Struthio camelus: one gene and its partner. The protein of the gene in region 1 binds, or shares a complex with, the protein of each later gene. Links are inferred from orthologs where the notes say so. Each region holds a gene or a part of one and is shown on either strand. Other genes may lie near its edges.

Region 1 (7,917 bases):
AGGAAAGAGTCATGGACGGGATCTAAGCTCAACAAGAAATTTTCAGGTCCTTCTCTACCCACAGCGAAGCATCCCGTGCTTCCATCTGCTAGGTTGTTACAGCTCACCGGCAATGAACAGTGGCCACTGGAGCAGCCTCCAGAGAGCCAATACAACCAACAGACCGTGAGGTTCGCAGCAAAATACAAGCTGGTCACAACTCCTTGCAGACCCAGCTCTCTGCCTTCACTGTCACACCACGCTGTCCCCTCTGAACAGCAATGGCACTCACACACCATCCCTCAGCACTGAAGCTCTGCTCCTCTCCTGAAAAACTGCAGTCGAACCTCACACGCTGGCTTTTCAGCACACAGCCCATACAAGAGTCCCACAGCCATTACTTTTCGCTCACAACCCCCACTGCGTACCTGTGAGAGGAGGAGAAGGTGGCACAGGACTTCATATCCAGGGAAGGGTCCGCTAAGTCCAGCTCAAATATTTCTAGAGAAGCATTGGTACTGAACGTCGCATCCAGCTGCTGAGCAGATGTACCTATGAAGAAATACGCTCAGGGATGAGAAAGACACGCTACAGAGAGGAGCGACCGCAAAAGCGGCACCATGCAGGGCGTAAGAGCATCATCCTCACAAAAGGGACCCCGAGATGGGGTCTGATTTCTGTTTTGTTTTAGAAGTACCGCTACATAATTCTCCTCCCCACAATTCTCTTTGCGCGTTTCTTGACCTGCGCAAAAGGGGAAGCTTCAGGAGAACGCTTGTCTCTCCCTGATTACGTATGAGAAATTCAGTTAACAACAGAGAAACAAGGGACGTGCCAGATGAGCACTAAGGGACAGCGAACGGCAGGATGCTGTAGCCTTAACCTGGAAGAAGGGAGCCGGTGCTGTTGGCTACAGAGCCGCAAGTATGTTGTCACACCACAAAGATCAAACCCAGGAATAAATGGGTATCACAGGCTGGAAAACTGCCTCTGAGGTACTACATGGTATTCTCCACTGCAGCTTCAACCTGCAGGGCGTGAACTAACTACTATAACTTTCATTTATAACCACCTCATGGCAGCCACCACAGGTAGGCTAAGGTCTGCTGGCCCACACCCCAACAACTTACCGGTGGCCAGATAAATGGGGTGCTGCAGGGCAGGACTCCATGCCTGCATGGCAGTACGATCTATCTCCTTCAGCTTCATTTTGCTAGAAAAGAAAAACGTGACTCTTAAAGACAACATGGGAAGAACGTGTTAACGGGGAGCTAGAGGTTGCATGAGAACTCAACAGAAGCAGCCACAGATAACCACTTCAAGGAAAGTGGTCCCACGCTTTCACTAGGGATCTTACAGCAGCTCCTGCCTTTAAGTACTAGTCCCATTCCAACTGCAAACACCAAGCCTCAGAAAAACTATCATCAGAAATGAAACCCTGCCTGTCAAAGCCACCGCAAAGCGCTCTCAGCAACCAGCAGGACTGGATTTTAAAGATGGTCTTCACCATATAATTTAACTCTATTTCAGGGCCACGGTCAGTGAAATGGCATGTGAATTGTTCTCGATACGTATTTCCAAGGACATCCCATGGCACCTGAGAGGAGCAGCCAGACAGGACCAGAGCACGCTCCCGGGCTGGCTGCCATCTCTGTGGGATTACCTGCAGCACAGCCCAGGGATGGCCAGAGCCTGTCAGGACTGTCTTTGCGTCTGGCATCCTTCAGGGCACATCCTTGAGCCCTGCGCCCATTGTTTTTCCCCCACGCAGCTCTTCAACCGTTCACTCCCCACTCTTAAAACGGGGCGCAAGATCCGCGTGAACCGCCTTCCTTCTCTTACAGGCATCGAAAAAGCGGCACCCATGCCCTGCTGGCAGCTGCGCGCCAGCACCACGACAGAGCAAAGCCTTTCCCCAAGGCTGCCCGGTGCTCCCGCGGGGCCCTCCGCACCTCGCCCTCTCGGCGAGCGGGCAGGCAGGGGGGAGCAAGCAAGCAAGGGGAGGGGGCAACTAGGTGACGGCTCGCTCCAAACCCATTGTGCAACCCTCGCCTGCCGCAGGGGTCAGCGGCTTCTTTGCGAGCCAGGCCGGCATTTCCTGCCTTGCTCAGGCCGTCGCCGCGCCCGCGGCGGAGGCCCTGGAGGAATATTTTGGGGGGGGGGGGGAAAGGAAGGGACACTATCACGCGAAGCAGCCCCGCCGCCGCCGCCGCCGCCGCCCTCCCCGCTCCCCCGGCCCCAACGCCGCCGCCGCCGCTCACCCGCCGCGGCCCGCTCCAACGTGGCAGCCGCGGCGCCGCCTCGCCGCCGCCTTCCGGCCCCGCCCCCGCCTCGCCGCCTTCCGGCCTCGCCAGGGCGGGGCGGCCGCCCAACCGTCACTAACGGTCACCAACCGCCGCCGGCGCGGCGGCGCTACCCGCCCCGCCCCGCCCCCTTTCTCCCCCTCTCCTGCCAGCCCGTCCTCAGCAAGCTCAAGCGCAACTCGTCACAGCGCGTCAGGATGTGAACAGCAGCCAGAGACTTCATCATCGGACGGGCTGCGCGACCCCGCCGCGCTTTCAGCCGCCCCCGTGGGGGCGACGTGGGAAGGAGGTTTTTTTTTTTTTTGGGGGGGGGGGGAAAGGAGGTGGAGAAAGGAGAAGAGTATTTTGGAGAACGGGGCGCCGCCTCGCCAGGGAAAGGGAGCTCGTCAGCACCCCTGCCTTCGGCGAAGCGCTTTCACATGGCTCCGGCTACTTAAAACGACACCAGGCGGAAAGGCTCTATTGGGGCAGCCCCGTGAGCGACCACGGATAGGCCAGGACTCCCTCGCCTTCCGCAGCGCCGTGCGAAAACGCGGAGAGCGAGAGCAGCAGCTACCACGTCTCTTCTGCAGCAGCCCGCCGCCGCTGGCGCAACTCCTCGCGGCCCGAGGAAGAGGCGGCTCAGCCTGTCGCTGGGAGCGCTGGCACACGCTGCCCCCAACCCACCTCGCTCGGCGGCCGCGCTTGGGGCCTCGCCCGCGCCTCAGCCGCGTCCCGCCGCCGCCAGCTCCCGCGGCCCCTCAGCGTGCGGCCGCCTCAGAAAAACCCCAGCAGGCGCCGGGCGGGGGCCGAGCCCAGGGCGGGCCCCCCCACGGCCCCATGGCGCGCGCGGCCCGCTCGCTGCTGCGAGGCCGTGCGCACGGCGGCGGCCGCGCTGCCCCGCACATCCCGCCGCACCCGCTGCTCTTTCAGCGGCGGGAAAAAGAAGAGGGTGGGTGTTCGGCCCGCTATATATATAGGGACGGAGAGCTGCGCTCCCATTGGCTCCGAGGCGCGCCGCTCCCCATTGGCAGCTTCCTCCTCCGCCCCCGCCGCTGATTGGCGTGGTCTTCCTCCCCTTTCCGCCACTCTTCGCCACTTCCCCTGCGCGCATGTCAGCTGGGGCGGGGCCACAGCCTGGCGACGGAAATACCTCCCTGCCTTCCCTTTCAGCCGCTACGCCCAATGAAAAAGCAGCGCCCAGCGGGAAGGGGCGGGGGAAGCGACTCGCCAACCAATGGAAAAGGGCAGGCTGGGGGGGCGGGAGAGGGAGCGCTGGCAGCCAATGAGGAGGCGCGTTTCCGGGCAGGGGTGTCGGTTGGTCGGCGCTGCGCGTGCCGGACGACCGTTACGCGGCGGCCGTTAGAGGGGCTGCGGGGGAGCCGCCATGACGCGGAGCTGCTCGGCGCTGGGCTGCACCGCCCGCGACAACGGGCGCAGCCGGGAGCGCGGCATTTCCTTCCACCAGTGAGTGCCGGCGCGAGCCGGAGAGGGGCTGGAGGCGGGCCCGGCGGCCGGGACCCAACACCGCCCCCCCCCCCGCCTGCCTCTCTCTCCGTGTGCCGCAGGTTCCCGGTGGACGCCGCGCAGCGCCGCGAGTGGATCCGCGCCGTGAACCGCGTGGACCCGCGGAGCCGCCAAGCCTGGAGCCCCGGGCCCGGGGCCATCCTCTGCTCGCGGCACTTCGCCGAGGCCGACTTCGAGCGCTACGGGCTGCGGCGGAAGCTGCGGCGGGGCGCCGTGCCCTCGCGTTTCCCCCGCCCGGTAACGGCCCCCCTCTCCTTCTTCCCCTTCTGGGGGGAGGCGGACGCCGGGGGGGGGGGGCAGGGGGCTGTTCACCCGTGTGTAGGGGTGTGTGCGTGTGTCTTCCCGGCAGTGAGCGACAAGGCCTGCCGCTCTGCGGTGCTTTCGGTCCGAGCGCTAAGGCCAAGCGGCCCCTAAAGCACTGCTGATTTGCCCGTGAGTGAAACTGCCAAACCGGACTGCATGGGGAAGCGCCTGCCCTTCCCGATTCAGCCCCCACCTCTGGGCTTCCACGGAACTGAAGCCCTGGCAGCGTTTTGATCACTTCACTAACCCTCAGTCCCTTCTCCACTAAAGGACCCGCGACCCAGGAACAGGCCATCCCCAAGGGCACTGAAGCAGCCTCTCCTCAACCATTCTGATGACGAGGTCATCGCCGAGGATCACAACTACAGCTTAAAGGATGCTGTAGCAGCAGCTGGACAGCAGGCAGAAAGGAAGGAGGTACAACCATTGCCTGAGAAGCAGCAGCTTCTTGCAGCAAGGACGTGTCCCACGTACCGTCCAAGAAAAATTTCCAGCATCATCAGGGAGCTGGCAGAGAAAAAACAGTTGTCTGAGGAAACCGTGAATTTGCTGCAGGCCCACTTTTCAGGTACTGCTTGGGGCGTTTGACTAGGCAAGAGCGCTTCAGGGTAAATACTGCCTCATTCCAGTTTTATGTTTTTATTTAGCTCGGTATAGCATGGGTAAGCCCCGGCTCTTAGAGTGCTAGGGTCAATACTATAAGCTTTAATTACAAAGTAAAAACTGCGGAAATTTTTAGTTCCGGAACACAACATCCAATCCAGTGAAGGATAAAGTACCCTCACACCTCTCTGCGAAGTGAGTGCAGCGCTCAGGTGAGCTCTGTAACAAGACTGTTCAATCACCTCATACCAACATCTAGCTGACAGACAAATCAAAGATGGGGGATGTTTAATTAGGACAGTCTTGTCCTTCCTGCTGTCAGAGAAAGTGAGCTCAGTTTGCGTCTGTCATGCGACATGAAGAAGCCAGTTAAATTGTACAGTAGTCCATAACTTAGCGGTTTCTCTCTTTTGATGGAAATTTTAAGCAGTAGCCACAAGTAGGATGCAGTATCTACTCAAAGCTTTGAAATGACATTGGAGAGGAAAAAGGAAAGACTCGTTACAGACAGAGTCAAGCGGCGTAAGCAGCAGAGCTGCGGTAGGGGACAGAGTGCCTGGCCACCACCTATCCTGAGGAAAATGAGAGGCACTGTAACAGCACTTGCGCCTTCCTAGCGTCACGTCAAACTTCCTTCGTAACTCAGTTGTTCCCGAGGCAGTAGCGTGGCCTTGTATACCCTATGCTGCAATATTTCTGTGTTAACCCTCCTTCTGTGAAGGTAGCGACTGTTTACTTGCTTCACTAAGGCTGACCTTGTACTTCTTTAAACAGATTTACCCTGTGAGTCACAGAACTGGAGGCAGATGACAGAATACTCCCTGGAAATGAAACAATTTGCTTGTGTTCTCCATCTCTACCATAACAAGGCCTATGATTATCTACGGAAGATTTTTCCCCTGCCTCATCCTTCCAGCCTGACAAAGCAAGTTTATATTTTTTTCATGCTGACTGGGTTTCTAGGTACTTATTTAGAAATTGATGGAAGAGAGATCTATCATGAAAATACATTCACCTATAGTAGTTTCTCCGTGCTTCATTTTGCTAACACCAAACACCAAGCAGAGTGGGAAACAAGCGTTAAGAAATATTAATAGCAGGTATCTCAGAGAGAGGTATGACTCCAGGCACACACTTTATGCCGTCAGAGTTAACACAGCTATTACGCTAACAACTTTGAGGAAGTACAGAGCTTCCTAAATACTCCCAAATGAATACCTGAGTGAGGAAAAGCTAGATATTGGGGCCTCAGATACCACAGTATCTAATCTTTTTTTTTTTTTTTTGGCGTTCACTGGAATGAAGAAGGAATAATAAAAGGAGGAGGTGTTTCACCACTTCTTGCCACGTTCTGTAAGGAGTACTCTACAAATGATACTCCTGGACCTGTGATGTGGAGTAGAATACTCTTCTGAGAGGGAGCTAGCCCTGGGGGAATGGGCCATATACTGGAAGAAAGAGCAAAAACTAGTAAGGTCCTTTTCATAGGAGAAGCAGCAGGCGGTGTTAAAGGAGCAGTTCATTTCACCTGCAGCACTCCGCTTACCAGTCAGAAAATACGGGAGGGCGTGCACGCGTGAGCAAGAGAGAGAAGGCACGTGACCGATACAGACAGGGGCAAGCATCAGTGTGCGGGGAAGTCAAAACCAGCAGGACTATGCAGAGTGGAAACTTTGGGACCATGCGTTGCAAAAGGGAAGAGATTATAAAACTTCATTTTTCTCTGAATCTCTACTCCTAATTGTGTCCTTTCTTCTTTTCCAGTTGGCTGTCTAGTAACAATGCCGCTCCGGGCTTCAGCAGTGACATCTTTATCCGCCTTCAGGAAAGGGTGGAAGAGGGTGACCAGGCCTACCGTTACTGCGCGTTGATGGTACAAGACATGGCTCTTCAGAAGCAGCAGGAGTGGGACCCCCAGACCCAGCATCTGGTGGGCTTTGTTGACTTGGGGGCAGGCGTCCTGGATGCTGATGAGGCCCCGCTGGCCTCTGAAGCGGTAATCCTCATGGCAGTAGGCATCGCGAGTCCCTGGAGGGCACCTCTTGGCTACTTCTTTGTGAACAGCTTGAGCGGCCACCTGCTTGCTCAGCTGCTTCGTCAGACCATCAATAAGCTGAACAACATCGGCATCGCGGTGCTGTCTGTGACATCAGGTGCCACCGCGCACGGGGCTGACACAGCCCGAGCTCTGGGGATCCGTATTGACCCTGAAAGGATCCAGTGCACTTTTCAGCATCCGCCCAGCTCTGCTCACTGTATCACGTACTTCTTTGACACTTGCCACGCGCTCCAGCTGATAAGGAACACTTTGCAGTGCTTCCAGAAGCTACAGTGGCTCAGTGAAACAGCACAGTGGCAGCACATGGTGGAGCTGGCAGCTTTGCAAGAGAAAAGGGTATTAGAGCTGTGCAGACCCAGGTCAGGCTGTCGTGAAAGCAAGGAGCATTGCTATTTAAGAGTGAACCTCGCTACCCAGCTGTTCAGTGAGGGTGTTGCTGATGCGCTGGAGCACCTCCAGAAGCTGGGCCTGGCCGCATTCCAGAACTGCGGCGGTACCATCAAGTTTGTGCGTTTGATGAGCCGTCTGCGCGATGTATTCCATGGCAGAAGTCCCTACGGAAGGGGACTGAAGGGGCCTTTGCTAGCTGGAAATTACAGCAAAGTAAGCCACCTCTTCAGTGAGGCCAAGAGTTTCTTTGTCACCTTAACAGACTCTGTGGGGAGGTACGTTATAAAGAGCAAGCGCAAACTGGGATTTCTGAGTATCTTGCTCAATGCTGAAAGCCTCAAGTGGCTCCATACCAACTACGTGCTTCCAGAAGGCGCGCCTGTGCACTGCCTCCTGACGTACACCTTCAGCCTCGACCAGCTGGAGTTGTTTCTCCGGGCTCTCAGGCAGGCTTGCGTTGGCCGCGGCAACCCCACCTGCGCAATGTTCCAGGCTGCTTACTGCAAACTGCTGGCCAGCTGCAGCTTGGCACCAGGATTACAACACAGCAGTGGCTTTGGTGACATGAGCACCTTGGATATATCCATCTTCCGCCAGACAGAGCTGACCCTTGGCAGCATTCGTTCTCAGTACGATCCAGCTCGTAGGACGACTCTGGCAACGGAGTACCCCTTCAGCGCAGGCCTTCTTGTGCGGGACTCGGCCCTGAGCAATGCACTGACGGACCTGTCGCTACGTGCACAGAGCATCACCTGCACCACTGGATTTGTTGCT
Region 2 (7,908 bases), on another chromosome or scaffold:
TTATTTAACTACATAAGGAGTAGGAAAGGCAGTAGGGCCAACAGATGATCAAAAAAAGGAAAAGAGTGCAGAGAAAGATAAAGCCAGAAAAACTGGGGTGGGGGTTGCAGTGTTCATGTCTGCTCGCTGTAGAAGATGTTGGGGCAGGTCCTATATCAGAATCCTTCATTATGCAGGATTCTTTGCAAGAAATGTTTCAGATTAAGGCATTAATAGATAGAAGAGATTATGGAAAAAATAGACAAAATAGTATCAGATTCCAGGATCGGGTGACGTGGAACTCAAAGTGCTAAAATCATTCAGAGAATATCCAGAATATCTATTTAATAGATACTACAGTTTAGCTGATCTGTTGTTGTAAGCTGCCTTGGTAAATGTAACTGATTGAAAGATGGAAAATGAAGGGTAGGAGGATCAGTTTCATATTGGAGGGAGATCACCAATGAAGTCCGAAAAGGATTTTTTGATGGATCCTGTGATGCTCATAAGTTATCTAAGTTGCACGGTTCCTGAGCTGGCAGGGTACAAGAGTCAGTTGAAAAACTTAAGAAGGTCTAATGATTAAGCAGTGAAACAGCAGGTGAACATGCATCAACTTACAGTTCTAACTTCACAAAAATGATGAGGTCTGAGTTGACTGTTACTGCTCAAGAATAAGATCATAGAATTCAAAAATGTCATCTTAATGCCTCACACCACTCAGAAAAGCAGACAATGTCTGGCAAGGAATAAAAACCAAAATAGTAAACATTCTGCCCCTATAGAAATCTATAATTCATATGCATCTTGTGTGCAGTAAGCTTGTGTGAGGAACAGATGAATACATTACAATCCTTCAGTCAGAAAAAGGTGACTTGTGAGAGAAGGAAATGTGGCAGAGGTCTCTTACAGCGTGAGCATCACAGAGACAGTGAATAACAATTCCATTCTTTTATCAGAGAGATGGTGACCAAATAGGCATCAAATTAATTTAGCCAGTGGCAATTCCAAAAAAATAAAAGACTGTGGTTCTTTCTACAGCATGTGGCTGTGGGAGTTTGAACTACAGAAGTTTATGGATGCCAAAAATTTACAAGAGTTCAAAAAGCAGCTGGATAAATTCAGAGAAGAAAAGTCTATTGCAGCCTATAAACTGGAAATGATTACACCTCTAGCTCATGGATTTCCTAGGCTGCAAATTGGTGGAGGCTTGGAGAGTATTTTGAAGAAGTATTCCTACATTTCTACCCTGTTTTTATATTCATTTTCTAGGCATCTGACTTGTTGCAGCTCTTCTAACAGAGTAAACAAAAGCTATACTATGTGTGTACCTAAGAAAAGAGAATATATTGGTTGGGTCTGTTCAGCTAAAGTTATAAGTGTCAGTTAAATAAATAATGTCTTTACTGGAGATCCAACTTAGTTGAAATATATTTGTAGGTCAAACAGTAAATAATTAGAAACAGAAAAGGGAAGAGACTTAATGGCGAGAACTCAAAACTATTCTGTTTTCTTAATGTCAGAAAATTAAGCAGTTTTGGGAATTAAACAGCATTGTAAGACAAAACACTAATTAAAGGATTGTTTATAGATTTGGGCAGAGGTTGCTTTTGTTGTGTTTTTGGGCTTTTTTTTTTTTGTTAAACTTTTCATCTTGCAGGGATCTGGAGAAGACACTGAAGGACTCTGTGGCATCATTGAAGCCATTGCAGAAGTGATCAAACTAACTGATCCTTCACTACTCTATCTGGAAGTTTCAACTTTAGTCAGTAAATACCCCGATATCAGGTAATTCTCTTCTCAAAGTTAAATACATATATGTGCAGTGTTGTGTGTGTGCCGTATGTCCTCTCTCTACCTCACAGATATTGTTTTAAAATTAGCCTGAAACTGCAAAGTAGCTATATGTAAATATTTTCATATTATTCATATTTTAGAATGTAACCATTTTCTTATGATAAGTGATACTAATGGAGACTGTATATGTTCTGAAATAGGAAGTGCATGTACTTAAGTACTCTGTGGCACAGCAAAGGAATAATGAACATACTCTGTGTTCTGGGAGTATAAAATATATCTTGAGTCCTAAGAGCAGTCACAATGGTGCTTTATATTGAGCTGGAAAAGCTAGTACTGAGTGACCAGAGATCTGATTAAGTACTTGAGGTATTAGAAGTACATAATGAAACTGAGTTGAAGGATTGTGAACTAAAAGCAATATTTCTGACAAAATATTACTTCTATGAAGTTTCTTACTAATGGCAGTTTTATCATTTTCCTTTGGCAGGGATGACCATATTGCAGCTTTGCTCACAGTGAGAGGAGATGCCAGCAGAGATATGAAGCAGACTATCATTGAGACCTTGGACCAAGGTCCAAGCCAACCAAATCCGAACTACATGCCAATTTTTAAAGAAATTACAGTTCCCACTCTAACTGTGCCAAAACTTCTTAAGTAATTGACAATGCTGTGTTTTTGTGTCATTACTGGTCTGGGATCAACAGGTTTGAAATATTTGATGGCAAAATTGGCAATGCTTTTTCAAGTAAAGTTCAATACTGATACTTGCTAGGTATGTTTCTAAGGACTTTTTCATGTGGGGAGACATAGTCACATTTCTGAAAGAAAATAGTGTTAACGATCAGTCAAATTACAGTTTGAAGAATGAAGATTCTGATGGCCAGAATGCTTTTTACTGACCCATCTTACAGCCATATTTGCCATTAGCAAATATATTTTTCTCATGGAATGTTTCTGCACTGTACAGTACAGTGCTGTATGAAGATATTTATACTGAAAACAGCAGAGCTGAATTAGTGCTTAATGCAGACTAAATAGACCTGGATATGCTAATATACATTGCTTACAATACCTGAGCTGACTCTATTAAGGACTATCTTTATATGACACTGCACTGGGCATATATTAACATCTTCAATTCACTTTCACATTGTACTTTGTGTATGTATTTACTCTGATGTAAAATAGTTTATTTCAGAAAACGTAATTATAAAATCAGTTTCCTGACTAAGGGGTTGAACAAAATTGCTAGCATGCAATTTGATTATAGGGTGAATAAACAAATAATTAAAAAATACTTGAGGTACAAAAATAATTTTTCATTGATTCACTAAAAATGGCACATAAAGCATCACCAATTCAATAAAATGTTAAAACTATTGCTACCTACAGCAGTGTATTCTTTAAATCCTAATAGAATTACAACAGATCTCAATCATCTTCTCCCCCCCCCCCCGGTTGTTTAAAGCGTAGAGCAGCTTTGTGCTCTATGTGTGAATAGTGCTTGGATTTCATGTTTTTCTCAAAACTCAAGATACATTCTTATATCCCACAGTAATTTCAGATTAATGCTTAAAGTTAATTTCCAGTGTTATCGGTCTAATTATAGCATATGACTGGAAAACTGCTGAATTTAAATGTTTTCAAGGAAGGACATAATGAAGGCATTGCCTTTGAATACCTGAACACAGTTGTCAGACAAGTACAAGGAAGGCGCAAGCCTACTTTGCACTAACTGATGGTCTGGAGTTCACATTAACTTGTGCTTAGCCTGTAAACACACAGACCTTGTGCTATTTGACCCCTCTCACTGTCTCCTTCTTACCCCAAAAGAGATGCGAGGTCATCAGTTTGGATAGAGGGTAGAACAAAGATTGTTAGTTTTTTTTGCTTGTTGTTTGTTTTCTTCCATTGACTGTATGAATGTGTCCCAGAGGACCAGGATGGTTCAGTAGCCTGTCAGGTCTGGGTGCTGTGAATCCTAATACTGTACCTAGGAATTGCAGGTACTGGGAGGGGAATGGATTTTTGGATGGCCAGTCTGTGGCCTAGTGAGTTAAGAACTACTGAGGTAATATTGACTAATTTTGTTTGCATTTCAGTGTCAATCCCATGACTGTTGGGATGTACCTGAAATTCTTGTCCTGTGTGACTTTGATCTTCAGTATATCCAAGGGAATCAATTAACCTGTTCTTTTTTCCTCCATAAACTGTATGCTGCTTCTGCAGAAGTAACCCTGTACATCTTGAATGTTAGAATTGCACTATTTTTTCCCAAAGACAAACCAGTTTGCTTGGGTAGAGACCCCTTAGTTTCTTCTTGTCTAGAATAGAAAGATCAAAGGGACTGCTAATGCTCTCAGACACTTGGTCTCATGATGCATATTGTGTAAAGGAATGCTATTAAATTGTGAACGTAGACCCCCTGCATGCTGCCAGTGCCTGCTCAATGAAAGCTGAAGCAACGGGTGCCTTCTCTGTGCAACAGTTCCAACATGCTCTGCAGAGTACTGCTACCCTGACCTCCATTCATATCTTCATTAAGCGTTACGCTCTTGATAAAGGTTTCTGAAGGAGCAATGCTGCATTTGGCAAGGCTGCCCATCAGTATCTGCTTAATTAGTGTCTCTGAGGTCCCTCTGTCATAGGCTCTCAGCAGAGTACTCCATGGAATCACCTGTAATGTGAAAGTCCATTGAGACAGTCATTCAAAGGACAGAGTTCATTAACTTGTTCCATCTTACAGATCTGTTGTTCTCACCGATTTCTTACACACTTGAAACCATTCCAAAACAGGAATGCTGACATGTTTAATTAACATACAGCACCTTCAAAAAGCCAGACTCCTGGGGAACCTTGGAGCATGGCTCACTTCAGTCTCCCGCTCCTGGGGCATCCGCCGTTCAGGGGAGAGGCTGCAGGCAGCGGCTGTGCAGGGAGCAGGGCAGGAGGCGGGCAGGCGCTCCCCGCACAGAGATGGTTCTCCCGGGGAAGAGCAGGGAGCTTTTGTGCAGGCCTGGTCCAAACCCGTCAGAATTACTGAGAGTGACCCGTGTTCGGGACCATCTTCCGTATTTTCACCCCAAATAGCAGTGTCCCCGCCCCCAGGCGCTGTCACATGAGGGAACCACCCGCGAAGCGGGAGCCGTGCCCCGGCCCAGCGGGAAGGCCGGGGCTGGTCCCGCAGCTCCCAGAATTCACGGGCAGAGAGGCCCGCCCCGCTCGGCTGGGCTCGGCCCGCCCGGCCGCTACCGTCCGCGGTAGCCCCGCCCCTGCCCAGGCGCGGCGCGGGCGGAGCTCCCCGGGCGACCGCGGCGACAGCTGTCCCCTGGGAAAGGGAAGCGCCGCCACAGCTTCTCCTGGGACTCCCCCGGGCGCCGCCCTCTGCTTCCCGCCATGGCTCTGCGCCTGCCCCGCTCGTGACATCACGGACCGCACTGCGTAAGCGAGCGCGTCCCGGAACTGCAGGGAGGAGAGTCCGAGCTTCCCGTCCGCGGAGGGTTCCGCGGTGCCAGGGCGCTGTGGCGAGGTCGCGGCATGGCGGCTGGGTATCATTGTAGGCCCAGCGGCAGCGGCGGGGCTGGGCTGGCCGATCCGAGCTTCCTGTGGAACGTCTTCCAGAGGTGAGGCCGGGCGAAGCGACCTGCGCCCCTGCGCCGCACCCCTCTCGGCCGCCGCCCCTGCGCGTGCGGCGCGTACCCGTCGCCCCGCGCTGAGGTGGCCGCCGCGACCTCGTCTGCTGCGGGCAGCGCCGCCCGCGGGCGGTACGGTGCTGGCCGGCAGCTCCAGCCCTGCCTGTGCGGAGGGGAGCGGCGGGGCCGGCCCGAGTTTGTGGGCGCCGGCCCGGACGGCGAGGGGCGCAGGCCGGTGTGGCGGAGCGAGGGCAGCGCGGCCCGCAGGGGACGGGGCTGCGGCTCCTAAGGTGGCGCTGGGGGGCTGGGAAGTGCCCGGAACCTCCCGCGGGCAGCCGCGGGAAGCTGTAACTGCCCCGAGGTTTCCAGCGGGAGGAGCTGCAGTTCGGGTGCTTCGGGGCCTGTCGGGGCGCGTAAGCATCGCGGTTATGTCCCTGTAGCAGTAACCTGAGGGAATGTACCGAGACGCTCGAGAAAAGGTATAGCTCAATTTTAGAGTAAGGAAAGGTGACATAATAGATGCAAGAAGGTAACCTGAGAAACGTTGAAGTTATTTGTGAACTGAAAAACTAGAAAGGATTGTAACCTCTGGAGGGTAAATGTAAAAACATGAGAAGGCTCGTAAAAAGGAATGTGATGAATGCTTATAGCAAAAAGCTTAAAAACTGATGGTGAATCCAATATGTCATGAGCAGAAACTGCCAGAGAGTCAAGGAACGGTATTAAAAGAAGTACTGATGTTGAGACCATAGCAGTAGTGAAGGTAACTGGGTTCTTCACGTCCGTGTCCTGTGGGAGAAACTGGGGATGTTTCGACATTGCATGTGTTTTTGTGGGAGATGTGTTGGAGGATCTATCTTGACTAATGATTGCAAGAAGAGGTTAAGGAGTAGACAAAATGAACAATAATTTGCTAAAACTGGGTAGTATTTACTTAGTAATTCCTGAGTGACTCAGGAATGTGATGGCTTACCTGTCAATCCTTGCATAAAACCACTTTATCTGAGGGCTTGGAGGTGGCAAGCATGAATGCCGCTTCTTTTTTAAAGGATCCAGAGAGAAACAGAGGAGCAATCTGACTGTTGTACCAGGCAAACCAGTAAGAACTATTGTAAACAATGTAGCTAGTGGGAAGAGTTGCATGGCTTTTGTTGAAAAAATTCCTATTTGTCAAACTACTATATAATTCTTTGAATATATTGCATAAGGATTCGGTATAGATATGGATAGAACTAGTGCAGTTGACATCTGCATAGTTTCCCAAGAAGTTTTCAACAGTGTTGAGTATCACAGGCCTTTAAAGAAATATTATTAGCTGTAGAATAAAAGGGAGTGTCCTTTGATGGATAAATAGCTGACTAAAAATAAGAATATATGGTCATCTATCACACTGATGGATGAAGAACTTCTGGAATCTTCACGCAGCTTGTTCATATTCAACAATGAAGGTAAAATAAGTAAAATGGAGGTGAATGATAAGATGAAATTTCTTGGATACACTAAGTCCTCACTCTTACTATAAAAATTACTGTCAAGGCTTGCAGGAGCACCTTATAATATTGATTGACTGATTTTTAAGAAAGATGATGGTCATATAATAGTCAATGAAATCCAGAATAGATATGGGAAGTACTGGAGGAAGAACCACTTAACTTCACATAATTTTATGTATAAAATAAATGTTCTTTAACCTGACTGATGTTCAGGACCAATTTATAGGCCTAGGTAGATTATAACACATTTTCATGAACATGTCAGCTTAACACTCGATAGCAGCTCATAAAAGGTAAAATAAATGTTAGGAATTATTAGGAAAGAAATAAGAAATAAAAACAGGGGAATATCTTTTTGCTACCGTAAAACCTATGCAACGTGAGTATTATTTGCAGTTTAGATCTTTTCCCTGCCTCAGAAATCATGTGGTAGAAAGAGTTTAAAAAGCTTTGAACAAGGCAACAAAGAATAAGTAAAATAGCTTCTACAAAAGGACCAACTATGCATGACTCTGCTTTGGAATGGAAATAACTGAGGAGAAATAAAAAACGGTCAGTGGCATGGGGAATGTGGATTATTGATTCTACTCCAGGAAAAGAAGTAGGAAGCATCAAATTAAGCTGGTAGGGACAGAACTGATTAACTTAGCGTTCCTCATGCCTACCCCTAAGTGAGGTTTGCCATTTTATAGGACCTCTATCTTTTCTCTGCTTAAAAGTCATCCAAAACTAGCCCTAGTCACTAGGCTTTAATTTGTGTTTTCTATGACCTAAAAAGGTATTATGCCCTTCCTCTTCCCCTTAACTGCCTAAATGCGGCAATCTTCCGAAACTAAACGTGAGTTTGTAGGTTTGAGCCCCGCCCCACCCCTCCCAAGTGGAGGGTGGAGACAAACAGGTCTCGAGTGCCCACTCTAACCACTACAGGCCTTGTACACAGAGTGGAAGGAAGCCACCTATCACCTTCAGCTGTCCTCCTAAAGAAGGACCTTGCTTTATCTGT

Evidence for each region. Proteins that work in one complex are often made in the same cells at the same time.
Region 2: the proteins of SEC31A (region 1) and PDCD6 are in contact, whole or in part, in a crystal structure (PDB 3WXA), measured with the Homo sapiens proteins. The link is inferred for Struthio camelus from reciprocal best matches to the Homo sapiens genes SEC31A and PDCD6. Residues at the interface, in NP_001070675.1 of Homo sapiens: Asn837, Pro838, Pro839, Pro840, Pro841, Gly842, Phe843, Ile844, Met845; in NP_037364.1 of Homo sapiens: Val31, Val35, Leu48, Ala51, Leu52, Ser53, Asn54, Gly55, Thr56, Trp57, Phe85, Trp89, Ile92, Gln96, Phe99, Phe148.

Annotation. Positions count from the first base shown.
Region 1 is NC_090945.1:10,275,283-10,283,199, forward strand, and holds the start of SEC31A (protein transport protein Sec31A), read right to left. Parts: upstream 3,008-7,917; 5' UTR 2,949-3,007; intron 2,348-2,948; exon of another isoform or gene 2,241-2,347; intron 1,193-2,240; 5' UTR 1,189-1,192; coding exon 1,110-1,188; intron 532-1,109; coding exon 408-531; intron 1-407. Other genes in the region: DNA transposase THAP9, read left to right, coding at 3,447-4,025, 4,362-4,659, 5,469-5,619, 6,459-7,917. UniProt on the Homo sapiens protein: Component of the coat protein complex II (COPII) which promotes the formation of transport vesicles from the endoplasmic reticulum (ER).
Region 2 is NC_090943.1:75,423,939-75,431,846, forward strand, and holds the start of PDCD6 (programmed cell death protein 6), read left to right. Parts: upstream 1-4,895; 5' UTR 4,896-5,317; coding exon 5,318-5,403; intron 5,404-7,908. Other genes in the region: EXOC3 (exocyst complex component 3), read left to right, coding at 1,640-1,767, 2,267-2,438. UniProt on the Homo sapiens protein: Calcium sensor that plays a key role in processes such as endoplasmic reticulum (ER)-Golgi vesicular transport, endosomal biogenesis or membrane repair.